Linked DNA regions of Anolis sagrei. Each later gene encodes a partner of the first gene's protein in a complex. Links are inferred from orthologs where the notes say so. Each region holds a gene or a part of one and is shown on either strand. Other genes may lie near its edges.

Region 1 (8,286 bases):
AGGTCTCTTCCAACTCTAGGATTGTATTTATTTAACCCTGCTTTGGATGTCATTACCTGGGGAGATTAGGCTAGCTCCCACCTTGTCAGCTTATAGGAAAGGCTTGAAAACCTGGCTGTTCTGCCTTGCTTTTGATGAATGAACAATAATCCCCACACTACGACAGTCCCAGCACATACCTGTCCTCTTGATGCACCTTGCCTTATTCCTAGCGAGTAATTAAGCCCCATAGCTTGTCCCTCCTGTACCTCCCAGTGGTTAAATTGCTTCGGTTATCCTTTCCTATGTCCCTTGATTTTATCTTCGCACCTTGGCCCTTATTCCTAATCTTATATTACTTTATACCCAATATGTTAATTTCTTTTCTTGTTTGTATGTTATTGTTTTATTGCTGTACTTTATTTTAATTTTAATTATTATTAGCTGTCCCCTGCCACATGTTGCTGTGGCCCAGTCTATGTAGATGTGTTTTTAATGTGCATGTTTGTGTGTATGTGTGTTTGCATATATATGTGTGTGTGTGTGTGGTTTTAAGCATGTGTTGTAATGTATTTTTTGTTATTTGTAATGTATTTTTTGTCTTCTGCTGTGCTTTTAATGAGGGTCACTCGTTGCCCTGATGGGTGTATTGTGTCCAAATTTGGTGTCAATTCATCCAGTGGTTTTTGAGTTATGTTAATCCCACAAAACATACATTAAAATTTTATTTATATAGATTTGCTGTATGTATCTTATTTGTTTACTGTATTCGTTGGGCTTGGCCTGTTAGCCACCCCGAGTCCCTGAGGGGAGATGGTAGTGGGGTATAAATAAAGTTTAATAATAATAATAATAACCCATTCAGATTAATCCCTTATCCCTAATTTTATTTTACTTTATACCCAGTGTTATTTCCCTTTTGTTGTTTATTTATATATTTACCACATTTATATACTGCCCCTCTTAGCCCAGAGGCGACTTGGAGCGTGTTATTGTTTGTATGTTATTGTTTTATTGCTGAACTTCAATTTTAATTATTATTTGCTGTACATATCTTATTTGTTTACTGTATTCATTGGGCTTGGCCTCATGTTAGCCACCCCGAGTCCCCGAGGGGAGATGGTGGCGGGGTATAAATGAAGTTTAATAATAATAATAATAATAATAATAACCACCCACTATGCCATCAGGAGCCTCCTTGCCTTACCTTGATGAAAATGACATTGTTGGGGAACACAGAGGCATCTGTCCCTTCCTGAGGGACCCTCGGAGCGGCGATGGGGCCCCGGCTGGCCATCAGAGAGGCAGGGAAGGTCTTTCTGGCCGCGGTGCTGCTCGGACCCTCGTCGCTCTCCTGCTTCTGCTGGTGGAGCTCCTCGGAGAGGTAGTGCCGGATGTTTTGCCGGGCCGAGTGGATGAGGTGCCCGTCAATGTCCAGGCCCACCATGCGGGCAGGCCCCCACTTCTTGGCCACGCTCAGGGTGAAGTGTCCCACGTTGCAGCCCACGTCCAGCACCTCTTTACCTTGGAACCACTCCGGCTTCATCACCCGCAGCCGGGCATCCTCGCAGTCGGGGTTGCGGTATCCGTAGTACTTGCAGTAGTTGCCGTACTGGAACTTGTGCCGGGGCTGTCGGCGGGCGGACGCGGGGGGCGCGTGGCGGGAACGGGGGGCACTGCGGGCCCTCTCTGGGCTGCTCCGGGAAGGCTGTTCCAACGCCGAGGAAGGCCCCTGATGCCGCGCGGCCGCCACTTCGGATTTGCTACAAGTCCTGCGCCGCTTGCGGTGGTGCCGGCTCCCTGTGCTGGCGGACGATGCCACAGAGACGCAGGAGGGGGTGACGCCCCCTCCGGCGGAAACCCCTTGGTGGCTGGGCTGGGGCTCCCCATGTCCGGCGGGAAGCAGCGGCGAGACCACCTCATCCCTGCAGTTGATGACGGTGTTGAGTTCGTACGGCTGGGGGGTGGCCCCATTGCAGGGCTTGGACTTCTGGCAGGAAGCCGAGGCGGTGGCGGCGGGCGTCGCGGGAGCCTTGGTCCCCGCTCCGTCGGTGCTGCCCCCCCTCTGCGCCCCTCGGTGCCGGTGCCGCTTGCGTTTGGCGGGCGAAGCCAAGACGGGAGGGTCGTCCTGGGCGTTGTTGAGACTCAACGGGTCGGTGATATCCTTGGGGATGAGGATCTCCACGGGGTCGCGGCCTTTGGCCGGCAGCGGCGACGACTTGGGGGTCTCGGCGTTGAGTGCCTGGTTGACCTCCTCGTCCAGGAGGCTGTTGAGGTTGAGCGGGTCGAAGATGTTCCCGCCGAGGAGGAACTCCGACGGGAGGACCGGGTCGCACTCGGAGTTGACCCTCCGGCGGCGCTTGAAAGCGGGGTGCTTGAAACCGCCTCCTCCACCGACATTGCAGCTGTTACGCCTCTTGTTGGGCCTCTGTTGTGGTTGTTGTTGTGGTTGTGGAGGGGCCTGGAAGCCATTGCGAGGCTTGTGGAGCTCAGCTAGGCCGTCTCCCTCCTCCACAGAGGCCTCCACTCCTCGTTGGGGGTCTGTGAGGCCTCCATCCCCACCTCCACGGCTCCCTTGGGCCTTCCCCGCCATGGGGCCTCCTTTCCCGGCTGCATTTCTAGGCAAGTCCCCGGCTCCACAGGTGGTAGGCCCCTTCGGAGGGGGTTTAGGCAACGGGGGAGGCGGGGCCGGGACTCGGAAGGCGTCCTTGTCGGCCGCCATCTCGATCATCCCTCAGGCCAGCCGGGGAAGAGGAGAGAAGCAGCCTTGTTCCTCTCCTCAGCCCGCCTCACGTTGTTTCTGCCTCAGACTCCTTCTGCGCGTGCGCAGTACGCTCCCTCGGCTGCTCCCTTCCTTTGCTCTCTCCCGCGCAGGCGCACTCCGCGATCAAGCCCAGCCTCCGTCGCGCAGGCGCACAAAACACCCACAACGCCCCGCCCTCTTGATCAGCGCATGCGCAGCCCAGCCAGCGCTCCGTCCAAGGAAGAACGCTTCGCGCCTCCCGATTTCCTGCGATGGCACGCTCCCCCCTCAGCGCTGGGTTTATATACCTTGTGGGCGTGGCTAATATACACCACGCCCCCTCGGTTCGATGACAACCAATCAGAGCCCGGCGCCCGCTCGAGCCGCGTGTATCGGAAACCAATCAGAACCAATTCCTCACAAGGCGCCCCTCCTTTTCTTCCTCCCGCCTCCTGATTTAGATTTCAACCAATAGGAAAGCAGAAGGGGAGCTCCTCCATCCAATCAAAGCTCAGCACTCGGATCTAATTTTTCTCCTCAGAGTGGGTGAGGGTCCTTCTCGGTATAGGGTTGTCTAACTCATACGCCTGCATGAGCGTTATTTCGAGCTTTAAAGTCGCAAAGGAAAGGCGAAGTAGATATATTTCCCCGCATTGGATGTGTTAAATAATACACTTTTCGTCAACTGCCAAAAATCTGCCTCGAAGAACAAGCCGGTTTTTTTTCAGGCATTGGCTTAGTCTCCTAAAAAAAGAGGAAAACAGCCTCACTTGCCAAAGATATAATCTATTTTAATATAATTTAAGTAAATCCGCCCTTGGAACCAATACTTTCACATTCTTTGTGCAAAGAAGAATTTTAATCATTTTTTGTTTTTCTTTTTAAAAGGGTTTCCCAATATGGACAGTTGTCAAAAGATCACATGGCTCCACTTGCCTGAAACGGATGCCTGCAAAGCACTCTGGGAACTGTAGTTTTGTTCCAGGCCCCCCAGTGGCGCATGCGCCGAATGTCGCAGCCGCCACTGCTTCTTACCAACTGCGCAGGCGCGGGAGGTGGGTAAACAAACAGACCCCAGGACACGCGGGGAAAGGGAGAGGAACGTGGGAAAGGGCGGCACGGGATTCATAGAGGGCCAATGTGTTTATTGTTACACTGATGGGGGAGGTTAGGCTCAAAGGCGAGTTGTAAATCTATATATCTAATATATATAGATCTATGCTGATGATTGTGCCATCACCGCTCAAGCAGGGAGCTTTGAGATGGTAGAACAGAAGCTCTCCGAAGCTCTAGTTCAGGCATGGGCAAACTTGGGCCCTCCAGGTGTTTTGGACTCCCAACTCCCACAATTCCTAACAACCGATAGGCTGTTAGGAATTGTGGGAGTTGGGAGTCCAAAACACCTGGAGGGCCCAAGTTTGCCCATGCCTGCTCTAGATGCTCTTACTGCCTATTACAGGGGAAACCAGCTGATCCCCAACCCATCTAAAACACAGACATGTGCCTTTCACCTTAAGAACAGACAAGCATCCCGAGCTCTGAGGATTATTACCTGGGAAGGAATTCCACTGGAGCATTGCAGGGCACCCAAATACCTGGGAGTCGCTCTGGACTGTGCCCTGACCTACAAGAAGCACTGCCTGAACATCAAGCAAAAAGTGGGTGCTAGAAACAATATCATACGAAAGCTGACTGGCACAACCTGGGGATCACAACCAGACACAGTGAAGACATCTGCCCTTGCGCAGTGCTACTCTGCTGCTGAGTACGCATGCCCAGTGTGGAACACATCTCACCACGCTAAAACAGTGTTCCTAATGTTCCATCTGAACATTAGGAAGAACTTCCTGACTGTGAGAGCCGTTCAGCAGTGGAACTCTCTGCCCCGGAGTGTGGTGGAGGCTCCTTCTTTGGAAGCTTTTAAGCAGAGGCTGGATGGCCATTTGTCAGGGGTGATTTGAATGCAATATTCCTGCTTCTTGGCAGAATGGGGTTGGACTGGATGGCCCATGAGGTCTCTTCCAACTCTTTGATTCTATGATTCTATGTGGCTCTTAATGACACATGCCACATTATCACGGGGTGTCTGTGCCCCACACCACTGGAGAAATTACACTGCTTCACTGGTATCGCACCACCTGACATCCGCCGGGAAGTAGCAGCCAATAGTGAAAGGACCAAGGCAGAGACATCTCCAGCTCATCCTCTGTTTGGGTATCATCCAGCACATCAACGACTTAAATCAAGAAATAGTATTCTAAGATCTACAGGGACACTCTCTGGAACACCTCAGCAAGCGGGAGTCCAAAAGTGGCAGGCTCAAACCCAGAACCTCAACCAATGGCTGATACCAAATGAGAGACTCCCCGCTGGGCACACAGAAGACTTGGAAGGTGCTGAACAGACTGCGCTCTGGCACCACGAGATGCAGAGCCAATCTTAAGAAATGGGGCCACAAAGTGGAATCCACGACATGCGAGTGGGGAGAAGAGCAAACCACTGACCACCTGCTGCAATGCAACCTGAGCCCTGCCACATGCACAAGGGAGGACCTTCTTGCGGCAACACCTGAGGCACTCCAAGTGGCCAGATACGTGTCACAGGACATTTTGCAGACGACACCAAATTGGGAGAGCCAAGACTCCAGAGGACATGAGCAGGATTTCAAACGATCTTGACAGATTAGAGAGATGAATGGCCAAAATTAACAAAATGAAGTTCAACAGTGACAAATGCAAGATACTCCACTTTGGCAGGAAAAACAAAATGCAAAGATACAGAATGGGGGACAGTGCCTGGCTCGAGAGCAGTACGTGTGAAAAAGATCTTGGAGTCCTCGTGGACAACAAGTTAAACATGAGCCAGGAATGTGATGTGGCGGCAAAAAAAGCCAATGGGATTTTGGCCTCAGGCATCAATAGGAGCCTAGTGTCTAGATCTAGGGAAGTCATGCTCCCCATGCTCTATTCCGCTTTGGTTAGACCACTTTACCTGGAATATTGTGTCCAATTCTGGGCACCACAATTGAAGGGAGATATTGACAAGCTGGAATGTGTCCAGAGGAAGGCGACTAAAATGATCAAGGGTCTGGAGAACAAGCCCTATGAGAAGCGGCTTAAGGAGCTGGGCATGTTTAGCCTGAAGAAGAGAAGGCTGAGAGGAGATATGATAGCCATGGATAAATATGTGAGAGGAAGCCACAGGGAGGAGGAGGGTGCAAGCTTGTTCTCTGCTTCCTTGGAGACTAGGATGCAATGGAGGTCAGCTGTGACCAGCAGTGCTGCAGAATTTGAGGAGGCACGAGTGGAGGGTGAAAGAGAGAAACGTGCCAGGAGGAAGGCGCGTCAAGCCAACCCCGGCCGAGACCGCCTTCCACCTGGAAACCAATGCCCTCACTGCGGAAGAAGATGCAGAGCAAGAATAGGGCTCCACAGCCACATACGGACCCACAGGGAAATCCATAATGGAAGACCATCTTACTCGTCCAACGAGGGATCGCCTAAGTAAGTAAGTAAGTAAGTAAGGAGCCATGGCTTCAAACTACAAGAGAGGAGATTCCATCTGAACATGAGGAAGAACTTCCTAACTGTGAAGAGCCGTTCAGCAGTGGAACTCTCTGCCCCAGAGTGTGGTGGAGGCTCCTTCTTTGGAAGCTTTTAAACAGAGGCTGGATGGCCATCTGTCAGGGGTGCTTTGAATGCAATATTCCTGCTTCTTGGCAGAACGGGGTTGGACTGGATGGCCCATGAGGTCTCTTCGAATTCTTGGATTCTAGGATTCTATGACATTTAGTATAATGCCAAGTTTTCAAACTTTCTTTGTGGGTTTTTATACATTATAACTCTATTCTCAATTTGCTTCTGACACAATAAATAAATAACTTGGCAAATAGTTGCAGGTATCTTTTTGTACTGGTGGTATCAGGTATGAAGATGTGAGAATTATGTTGTGCCCCACAGATGCTTATAAATACACTACAAATACAGCAACAGAGCAGGCTAAAGCCAGGGGGGAAAAATAGAAAGCTTGTTTTCTGCTGCCCTGGAAACCAGGACTCAGCGTAATGGGTTCAAATTACAGGAAAGGCGATTCCACCTAAACTGTATTAGGAAGAACTTCTTGACCGTAAGGAGAGCTGTTCAGCAGTGGAACTCTCTGCCTCGGAGTTTGGTGGAAGCTCCTTCCTTGGAAGGTTCTAAACAGGCTCAATGGCTATCTGTCAGGGGTGCTTTTATTGTGCTTTTCCTGTATAACAGAATGAAGTTGGACTAGATGGCCCATGGGGTGTTGCCCCTTGCAATTGTAGAGAAAGGAGAAGCAATAGCTGTGGGTCGGAGTGCCAGTATTCTTCCCCTGGGACTCTCTGAAAACATCCACAAAGAGATTACAGGAATGACCCACCCTGGTCATTCCACAGATATATAAAACCCTTTCCCCTCGTTCCAACAGACCTCACTACCTCTGAGGATGCTTGCCGGCTGGCGGGGACGAGAGATAGGGCCTTCTCAGTGGTGGCTCCTCGGCTGTGGAACACCCTTCCCGTGGACATCAGGCTAGCTCCCTCCCTGTTGATATTCCGCAGGAAGTTAAAGACCTGGCTGTTTAAGAAGGCATTTGGACAAGAAGTGCAATGATTGGTAATTTGACCATAGGAATGGAACAACGGAAATGATATCGGATTGTGGGTTTGACGATGAGACGACTCGGAATGGCTTTTGTAGTAATGTTGATGTTTTGATGAGATGTTTTTTGATAATGTGGATTATTTTACACTATGTTTTGTATTTTGCACCTGTTTTTCTATGTTGTACACCGCAGTGAGTCGCCCTTGGGCTGAGAATTGCGGTATATAAGCGAAGTAAATAAATAAATAAATAAATAAATAAATGCAGGCGAAACGTCAGGAGAGAATGCCTCTAGAACATGGCCATATAGCCCGAAAAAACCTACAACAACCCAGATTACAGGAAGTTTGGTTAAAAGGAAACCATTACTGATGTGAAAATGCACAGGAAGTGGCTGCCATTTATCTACAAGGGCGAATTGCGGTTTCCATTGCCTTCCAAGAGAAGCCTTATACCTTTTTTTGGTCAGACAAAGGCCAGTCTGGAGAGGTCCAAGGACACAAAGACAGCCTTGGAGGGCCAGGTGCAGCCCAAGGCCACCCACGGGTCCTTCCTCCCACTCCAATACCTTTTGAGATATTCTAGGTGGCACTAAGCTCTATAGCCAGCATACATAATGGTAAGGAATGCTGAGAGACTTGGGGGGGGGGGGGGGGGGTTCGCGAGGGTCACCAAAGACCATCAAAAACACAGTATTTTCTATTGGTCATGGGGGTTGTGTGGGAGGTTTGGCCCAATTCTATCATTGGTGGGGTTCAAGGGGCTCTTTGATTGTATAAATCCCAGCAACTACAACTCCCAAATGTCAAGGTCTATTTTCCCCAAACTCCACCAGTGTTCACTTTTGGACATATTGAGTATTTGTGCCCAGTTTGGTCCAGATCCATCACTGTTTGAGTCCTCAGTGCTCTCTGGATGTAGGTGAACTACAACTCCAAA
Region 2 (7,750 bases), on another chromosome or scaffold:
TGAGATACAGCTGTTTCAGTATAATACAACATGAAGCCTCACGGAGTATAACTATGTCACACCAATATGGGAAATGAATGAAAATTATTTGAAATCAGGTCTCTTCTTGCTATAAGATGAATGTTCTAAATGTTTAAGATCAAAGTGTTTCCAATTATAGTTTCCAGGTATAAAGGAGATCATGTACTCTTCAACAGGACAAAAGTACAATATCAGTGCAACTCTCCCAGGGGCCTTCCACATTGCCACATAACCCAAAATATAAAGGCAGATAATCCACAAGATCTGCTTTGAACTGGAGCCCCTTCCAAACAGCTGAATAAAACCTCCCATTTTCTGCTTTGAGCTGGAACATATGGCAACATCCCAACCCAAAGAAGATATTAAGGGATTTTATTCAGCTATGGGGAAGGGACCCCACTACAATCCTTAAATACCAAGACATCCATAGTGTAGCTGACCACACAATTAATTTTATGGAATTTACTAACAAAAGATATAATCTACCATACTCAGGCCTAATTCACACAGACACACTAAGCTGTAGGAATCACAATCACCCCAATGGAGAAAAGTAACACTTATATGATAAGGGATCATGACATTATTTCACAGCTGTATTTCATGATAACAGAAAACAAAGTAACAAAGTCTGTCAGCACATTTATTAAACATGATTAGAGAAAGAATTGGGCAAATTCATCAAAGATTAATCTATTAATATCTATTAGCTACACAGCTCTGTGGGTGCATCTAAAAGGCAGAATTTACTATCATGGTTCAGTATTACGGATTTGGGGGAGTTGTATTTTAACAGGAGTGCCAAAGAGTGCTGGTGTTTCGCCAAACTAGAAATCCCAGGATTCCAAAGCATTGAGTCATTGCACTTAGGTCTCTTCCACACTGCTGAATAAAACCTCACATTATCTGCTTTGAACGGGGATATATGGCAGTGTGGACTCAGGGCTCTTTCACACAGCCATATCGCCCAGAATATCAAGGCAAAAAATTCCACAATATCTGCTTTGAATTGTGTTATCTGAGTCCACACTGCCATATATTCCAATTCAAAATAGAAATTGTGGGATCTTATTCAGCTATGTGGAAGGGGCCTCAGATCACCCAGTTCCAAGCAGATTTTGTAGGATTCTTCTGCCTTGATATTCTGGGTTATATGGCGATGTGAAAGAGCACTTCCACACAGCCCTATATCCCAGAATATCAAGGCAGGAAATCCCACATTATCTGAGTGTGGACTCAGATAGCCCAGTTGTGGGATTTTCTGCCTTGATATTCTGGGATATAGGGTTGTGTGGAAGGGCCGGTAAAAGTATGATAGCTGGGACCCAATGGTATGCTACTTGTGCAAGTAGAAGAACGGAAGACGAGCCCATCATGGGTCAGAAGGGGGGGGGGAACAATAAAGAGGGAACCACTGTGGTTAAGGCAAGTAAAAGAATGTTTGGTCAGTGAGCAGCAAATGGAAGAAGATCACACAACTTATGGCAATGAATTGACCCGGACTGGTTTTTGGATTTTGATTTTAATGGATGTGTCTTAATTAATTGTTGTTTTAATATTTAATATTTTGATTGTACTGTGGTTGTTTTTATGATGCTTTTGTTAGGTTGCCCTGAGTCCCCTTTCAGAAGGGCGGGGTATAAATATAGGAAATAAATAAATAAATGTTAGAGTTTTTAATTGTTAAATGCTAAACCACGGCTTATGAAGATGGTAAATGGGATAGAAATATTTCCTCTTCCCCTTTCTGGCGAACAATGGGCTATCTCGTGCACGTACTCCCCTCATTAATTCAGATCCACGTTGCGCAACCCAACATAACCAGCGTTGGGTCCCAGCTATCATACTTTTACCGATGTGCCCTTAGTGAGAGTGGTGTTAAACTTCATTAATTCTACATTGCAGATGCACACTCAATTCAAGAAACATCAAAGCAAGCGGTGGGAAAAAAGGCAACGGCGAGGGTGCAAATCTTGAGGTAATTTTTGGATGTAAAGTCCTGTAAAAATTGTCTTTATGTCCGGCAATTCTGCAGAAATGTGACCATTCTCTGTGGTTGCCCCCTAACTTTGGAACACCCTCCCCAAAGACATTAGACTAGCACCTATGTTGGCAGTCTTTAGGAAGAACTTGAAGACCTAGCTATTTCGATGTGCCTTTCAAGAATAGGATAACCCCTAGCACTATGTCCCAGTAGCACTTTACTAGAGTTTAAGACTCTCTGCACATTGCACTTGCTCAGAATTCCAACATACCACCTCTCATACCCAGCACTTTTTAATCTGTACCCTTCATTGGCCCGGCCCTGGTTTTATTGTGTAATAGTGTAATGTTTTGTTATTGCTTATGTTTTTAATTTGCTTTGTATCGTATTGTTATTGTCTAGTGTTGTTGTGTTGAGGCCTTGGCCTTTGTAAGCTGCATCAAATCCTTCGGAAGATGCTAGCGGGGTACAAATAATGTTTAATAATAATAATAATAAAAGGTAAAGGTTGTCCCCTGGCATAAAGTCCAGTCATATCTGACTTTGGGGTGTGGTGCTCATCTCCATTTCTAAGCCAAAGAGCCGGTATTGTCCGTAGACACCTCCAAGGTCATGTGGCTGGCATGACTGCATGGAGCGCTGTTACCTTCCCGCCGGAGTGCTACCTATTGATCTACTCACATTTGCATGTTTTCAAACTGCTAGGTTGGCAGAAAAATATGACTATAGCTACTTTATTTCTTAGGGCCCTTCCACACAGAATATCAAGGCAGGAAATCCCACATTATCTACTTGGAACGGGGTTATCTGAGTCCACACTGCCATATATTCTAATTGAAAGTAGAAAATGTGGGATTTTATTTAACTTTGTGGAAGGGGCCTTAGGAACCTAAGAATCCTAAAGTAATCAAAAGGAGGCGAGGCTCCAGGCGCATGCGCACAGGAATACAAACGATGAACCCCCCCCCCACTTCCTCAGCCAATCAAATCACCCTTTGAAACACCCCTCTCTTAACCCTTAACCGGTGCAGCACGTGCGCATGCGCAAACCACCACCTTCTGAGAGAAACGAGCCAAAAGTGACAGGAATGCTCACGCCATTCCCTTTCTTCCACACATGTACGCAGACACACATACACCACTAACCCGGTGAATCTCACGAGGGAAGTGTCTCCTAGCCGAAACCACCGCCCCGCCCTCCTCGCTCGTTGCCAGGTTGAATTCTCGCGCGACAGGCAGGAGACCCCGCTCTTCCCCGACCCTATTGGTCGCCGCGCGGGAGGGGAAAAAAAAACACGGGGCTCGCTTCTGCGCAGGCGCGGCCAAGAGAACCTGTCCGGCGCGCGCTTCCTAGAGGAGGCGCGGGGATGTGCATAGAGATAGGAAAAAAATAGAGACATATACTGGAAGTGACGCCAAGACGTCTATCTATACCACGCCGTTTTGGAACTCTGTGCATCCCTTCGTCGCGCAGACGTGACGTCACCTCCAGCAGGTTGAGCGGGAAACTTGAGAAGGTAGGAACGCGACAATGGTTTAGCTCTCTGTCACCAGCCCTGAGGGAAGGTTTTGTTTTCCAAAGCTGCAGTTCCTTTCCCTGTTTAGCTGACGGCGACTGTTTAATGACTCCCAAACTCTAGCCCTCGGGGTATTTTGGACTACAACTCCCACAAGCCTCAGGTGCCTGAGGCAATGACCAGGGATTCTGGGAGCTGAAGTCCAAAATGACTGGAAGGCCAGAGTTTGAGAAACATGCAGAATATTTAAACTGAGTCAGGATTACTAGGTTCTTGTAGGTTTTTAAGGACTATAGGGCCATGTTCTAGAGGCATTTCTCCTGAAACATTCACACCTAACTGCAGCAGGGAAGAGCTCCTTGCCCCACCCCAGCCATTCCACAGATATATAAACCCATTGTCCTAATTCCAACAGACCTCACTACCTCTGAGGATGCTTGCCATAGATGCAGGCGAAACGTCAGGAGAAATGCCTCAAGACATGGCCCTATAGCCCGAAAAAACCTACAAGAGACCTAGTGATTCCAGCCATGAAAGCCTTCGACAATACATTGAGTCAGGATTATTTATTTATTTATCGGGACAGAATTGAGAATACAGTTCTAATGTATGACTCTTAGGGCTCATTTCCATTAGAAGTAATGCGGTTTGGCATCACCTTCAGGGTTATGACTGAGTGCTGTGGGGTCCTGGGAGTTGTAGTTTGGTAAGGCACACTTTGTAAAACTACACCTGTGCTGTCGCACGCTGGGCCTGTGCATAAGACTGTAGACAGGACATAAATTCTGTGTGCCCAACGGGACGCCGGGGCTGCCTCAGATTAAAGGCCTTTGGATTTCCTTAAACAGAGTCTTTAGATTGCTCAAAGGTTTAACAAAGTTCTTTATTATTGAAAACAAACAGGTACTTTAAGGCTTCCTTAATAGTCTATTGCAGGGGTTCTCAAACTTCCTCATGCTGCGACCCCTTAATACAGGGGTCCTCAAACTAAGGCCCGGGGGCCGGATGCGGCCCTCCAAGGTAATTTATCTGGCCCTCGCGCACGGTCAACCTAAGTATGAAACTACTTGAAAGCACACAATAACAACAACAATCCTATCTCATCAGCCAAAAGCAGGCCCACAGTTTCCATTTAAATACTATTTAGTTTATATTTGTTAAAATTGTTCTTAATTTTAATTATTGTATTGTTTTTAAATGTTTTTAAGATATGTGTAGTGTGCATAGGAATTCATTCGTATTTTTTTCGAATTATAATCTGGCACGCCAACAGTTTGAGGGACTGTGACCTGGCCCTCTGTTTAAAAAGTTTGTGGACCCCTGCCTTAATACCCCCAACCATAAAATTATTTTCCTTCCTACTTCATAACTGTCATTTTGCTACTGTTATCAATCGTAATGTAACTATCTGATACGCAGGATGGATTTTCATTCACTAGACCAAATTTGGCACAAATACCCGATACCTGATACAAATTTGAATACTGGTGGGGTGGGGGGGGTGATTTTGTCATTTGGGAGTTGTGGTTGCTGGGATTTGTAGTTCACTTGCAATCAAAGAGCATTCTGAACTCTACCAACAATGGAATTGAACCAAACTTGGCACACAGAACTCCCATGGCAAACAGAAAATATTGGAAGGGTTTGGTGGGCATTGACCTTTTTGTTTTGGAGTTGTAGTTTGCCTACATCCAGAGAGCACTGTGGACTCAAAAGATGATGGATCTGGACCAAACTTGGCACGAATACTTAATATGCCCAAAAGTGAACACTGGTGGAGTTTGGGGAAAGTAGTCCTTGTCATTTTGGGAGTTGTAGTTGCTGGGATTTGTAGTTCACCTACTATCAAAGAGCATTCTGAACCCCACCAACGACAGAATTGGGCCAAACTTCCCACATAGAACCCCCATGACCAACAGAAAATACTGTGTTTTCTGGTGGTCTTTAGTGACCCCTCTGACATTCCCTTGTGACCCCCAGGTTGAGAACCACTGATCTATTGGCTCTCTCAATCTTGTCCACTGGGAACAGGCACAATCTTCACAACTGAATTTCAACTAATGGGGAAATCCTTAACTTCTAATCTGGGCAGTCTGTCTTTGCCTCTGTTGGAGCCCCTACACCCAGTACCAACTGCTTCTGGCTTCTGCGAGTGACCCTTACCAGGCAGAGCTTTGTAGACTTCCAAGGGAAAAAGGAAGGAGTTCAGGTGTCAGTGATGGCTGGCTGAAGTGCTGTGAGACCGGTTTCCCTCAGCAAAGGAGCTGTAAGGCTGTATATCTCCCAGCCAAGCCACGGGACCTTTCTCCCCGGCCAAGCTGTAGAAGACGAAGCTTTCTACAGGAGCTCTTGGTATTATGTCCTGCATGGAAAGCTTCTCTGTATGGACTGAACCCAAAAAGGCTTCTATTCCCTCCAAAAACCCAAAAAGGGGCGGGACCAGGGAACCTAACTATAATTGACAGGTGGCTTGTCCTATGATTGCAGCCAAAAGAAGATAGCTGCAGAGTCCCTGAAACTTAGGACTATAACAAACATTCAGTGCAAAGCAAACAAAATTGGAGCTCCTGGTACAGCTGTACCTGCACAACACCTCTCGCAATTCCATAGCATGGAGCCGTAGTAGTTAAAACTGTTGTCAAATTGCATTAGTTGTGCTGTGTAACTGCACCCTTAATCAAAAATCTGTAAAATTTAAGGTCATCAAAATGTCTTTTTTTTTTTAAGAAAAAAAAGGGTATTCTGGTATTAAACGAGTTAGGGGTTTTACGTCCAAAAGAATAATTTCAACCTGGGGGTCACAATCAGACACAATGAAGACATCTACCCTTGCATTTTGCTACTTTGCTGCTGAATACTCATGCCCTGTGTGGAATACTTCTCACCATGTTATAACCGTGGATGTGGCTCTCAAGGAGACACTATTGTAGGATATCTACTCCCAACACCACTGGAGAAATTATACTGTTTAGCTGGTATTGCACCACCGGATATCCACGGGAAGTAGCAGCCAGCAATGAAAGGACCAAGGCAGTGACATCTCTGCCCCTTCTCTGTTTGGATATCAGCCAGCAAGCCAATGCCTTAAATCAATAAAAAGGTTCCTAAGAACTACAGATATACTCACAGGGACACCCCAGCAAGCAAGTGTCCAAAAGTGGCAGGCTAAAACCCGGAACTTCAATCAGTGGCTGAAGCCGGATGAGAAACAGACTGCACTCTTGAACCACAAGATGTAGAGCTAGCTTTAAGAAATGGGGCTACAAAGTGGAGTCCACGACATGCGAGTGCAGAGAAGAGCAAGCCAAAGATCACTTACTATAAGGCAGTCTGAGCCCTGCCACATGCACAATGGAGGACCTTCTTACAGCGGCACCAGAGGCACTCGAAGTGGCCAGTTTCTGGTCAAAGGAAATTTAGCATAATGCCGGGTTTTTAACTTTGTTCTTTTTTATACATTATAATTGTATCTCAGTTTGCTTCTGACACGATAAATAAATACATCTCAGATTTGCTCCATCACATACAATATTTTTGTTGTTATAAAAGACAAAAAAACAAATGAAATCTCTAAAGGAAATGGCACTGGAACATCAGTATCTACACAGAATGAAAACAGTCAATTGAACTGAGAAAAAAGGGTGTAATATGAATGAACTATGTGATATGACCTATATATTGTGGGTTTTTAATGCATTATTAAAATGCTTAGGCCTGTGATTTGGAAGCTGAGTAAATTAGCCCTTTGATGCCTCTTTTGCCCTGTTTTATCTCCTCCTCCTCTTGTCTGGGAACACAGTGATATTGGGGGACCTCAAAGGAGCCCCCGGTGGCAGAGTTGCTGAGCTGCTGAACTTACTAACTGAAAGGTTTATTTATTTTACTTATTTCCTATATTTATGCCCCCCCCCCCCCCCTGAAAGGGGATTCAGGGCAGCCTAAAAAAAGCATCATACAATGCTAGCATCATAAAAACAACCACAGTACAATCAAAATTTTAAAAATTAAAACAATTAATTAAGACACCCATTAAAATTGAAATCCAAAAACCAGTCTGGGTCAATTCATTGCCATAAGTTGTGTGATCTTCTTCCACTTGCTCACTGATCAAATGCTTGGTCCCATAACCAGGACTTGATTTTCCTTCTAAAAGACAAGAGGGGAGTGTCCAATCTGATATCTCCAGGGAGGGCGTTCCATAGGTGGGGGGCCACTGCTGAGAAGGCCC

The links. The genes of interacting proteins can lie anywhere in the genome.
Region 2: MEPCE (region 1) and LARP7 share a complex: the UniProt entries of both Homo sapiens proteins name them as parts of the 7SK RNP complex. The link is inferred for Anolis sagrei from reciprocal best matches to the Homo sapiens genes MEPCE and LARP7.

The regions. Positions count from the first base shown.
Region 1 is NC_090026.1:2,897,587-2,905,872, reverse strand, and holds the start of MEPCE (7SK snRNA methylphosphate capping enzyme), read right to left. Parts: upstream 3,003-8,286; 5' UTR 2,711-3,002; coding exon 1,187-2,710; intron 1-1,186. UniProt on the Homo sapiens protein: S-adenosyl-L-methionine-dependent methyltransferase that adds a methylphosphate cap at the 5'-end of 7SK snRNA (7SK RNA), leading to stabilize it.
Region 2 is NC_090025.1:32,549,402-32,557,151, reverse strand, and holds the start of LARP7 (la-related protein 7), read right to left. Parts: upstream 3,281-7,750; 5' UTR 3,152-3,280; intron 3,085-3,151; exon of another isoform or gene 3,062-3,084; intron 2,867-3,061; exon of another isoform or gene 2,798-2,866; intron 1-2,797. UniProt on the Homo sapiens protein: RNA-binding protein that specifically binds distinct small nuclear RNA (snRNAs) and regulates their processing and function.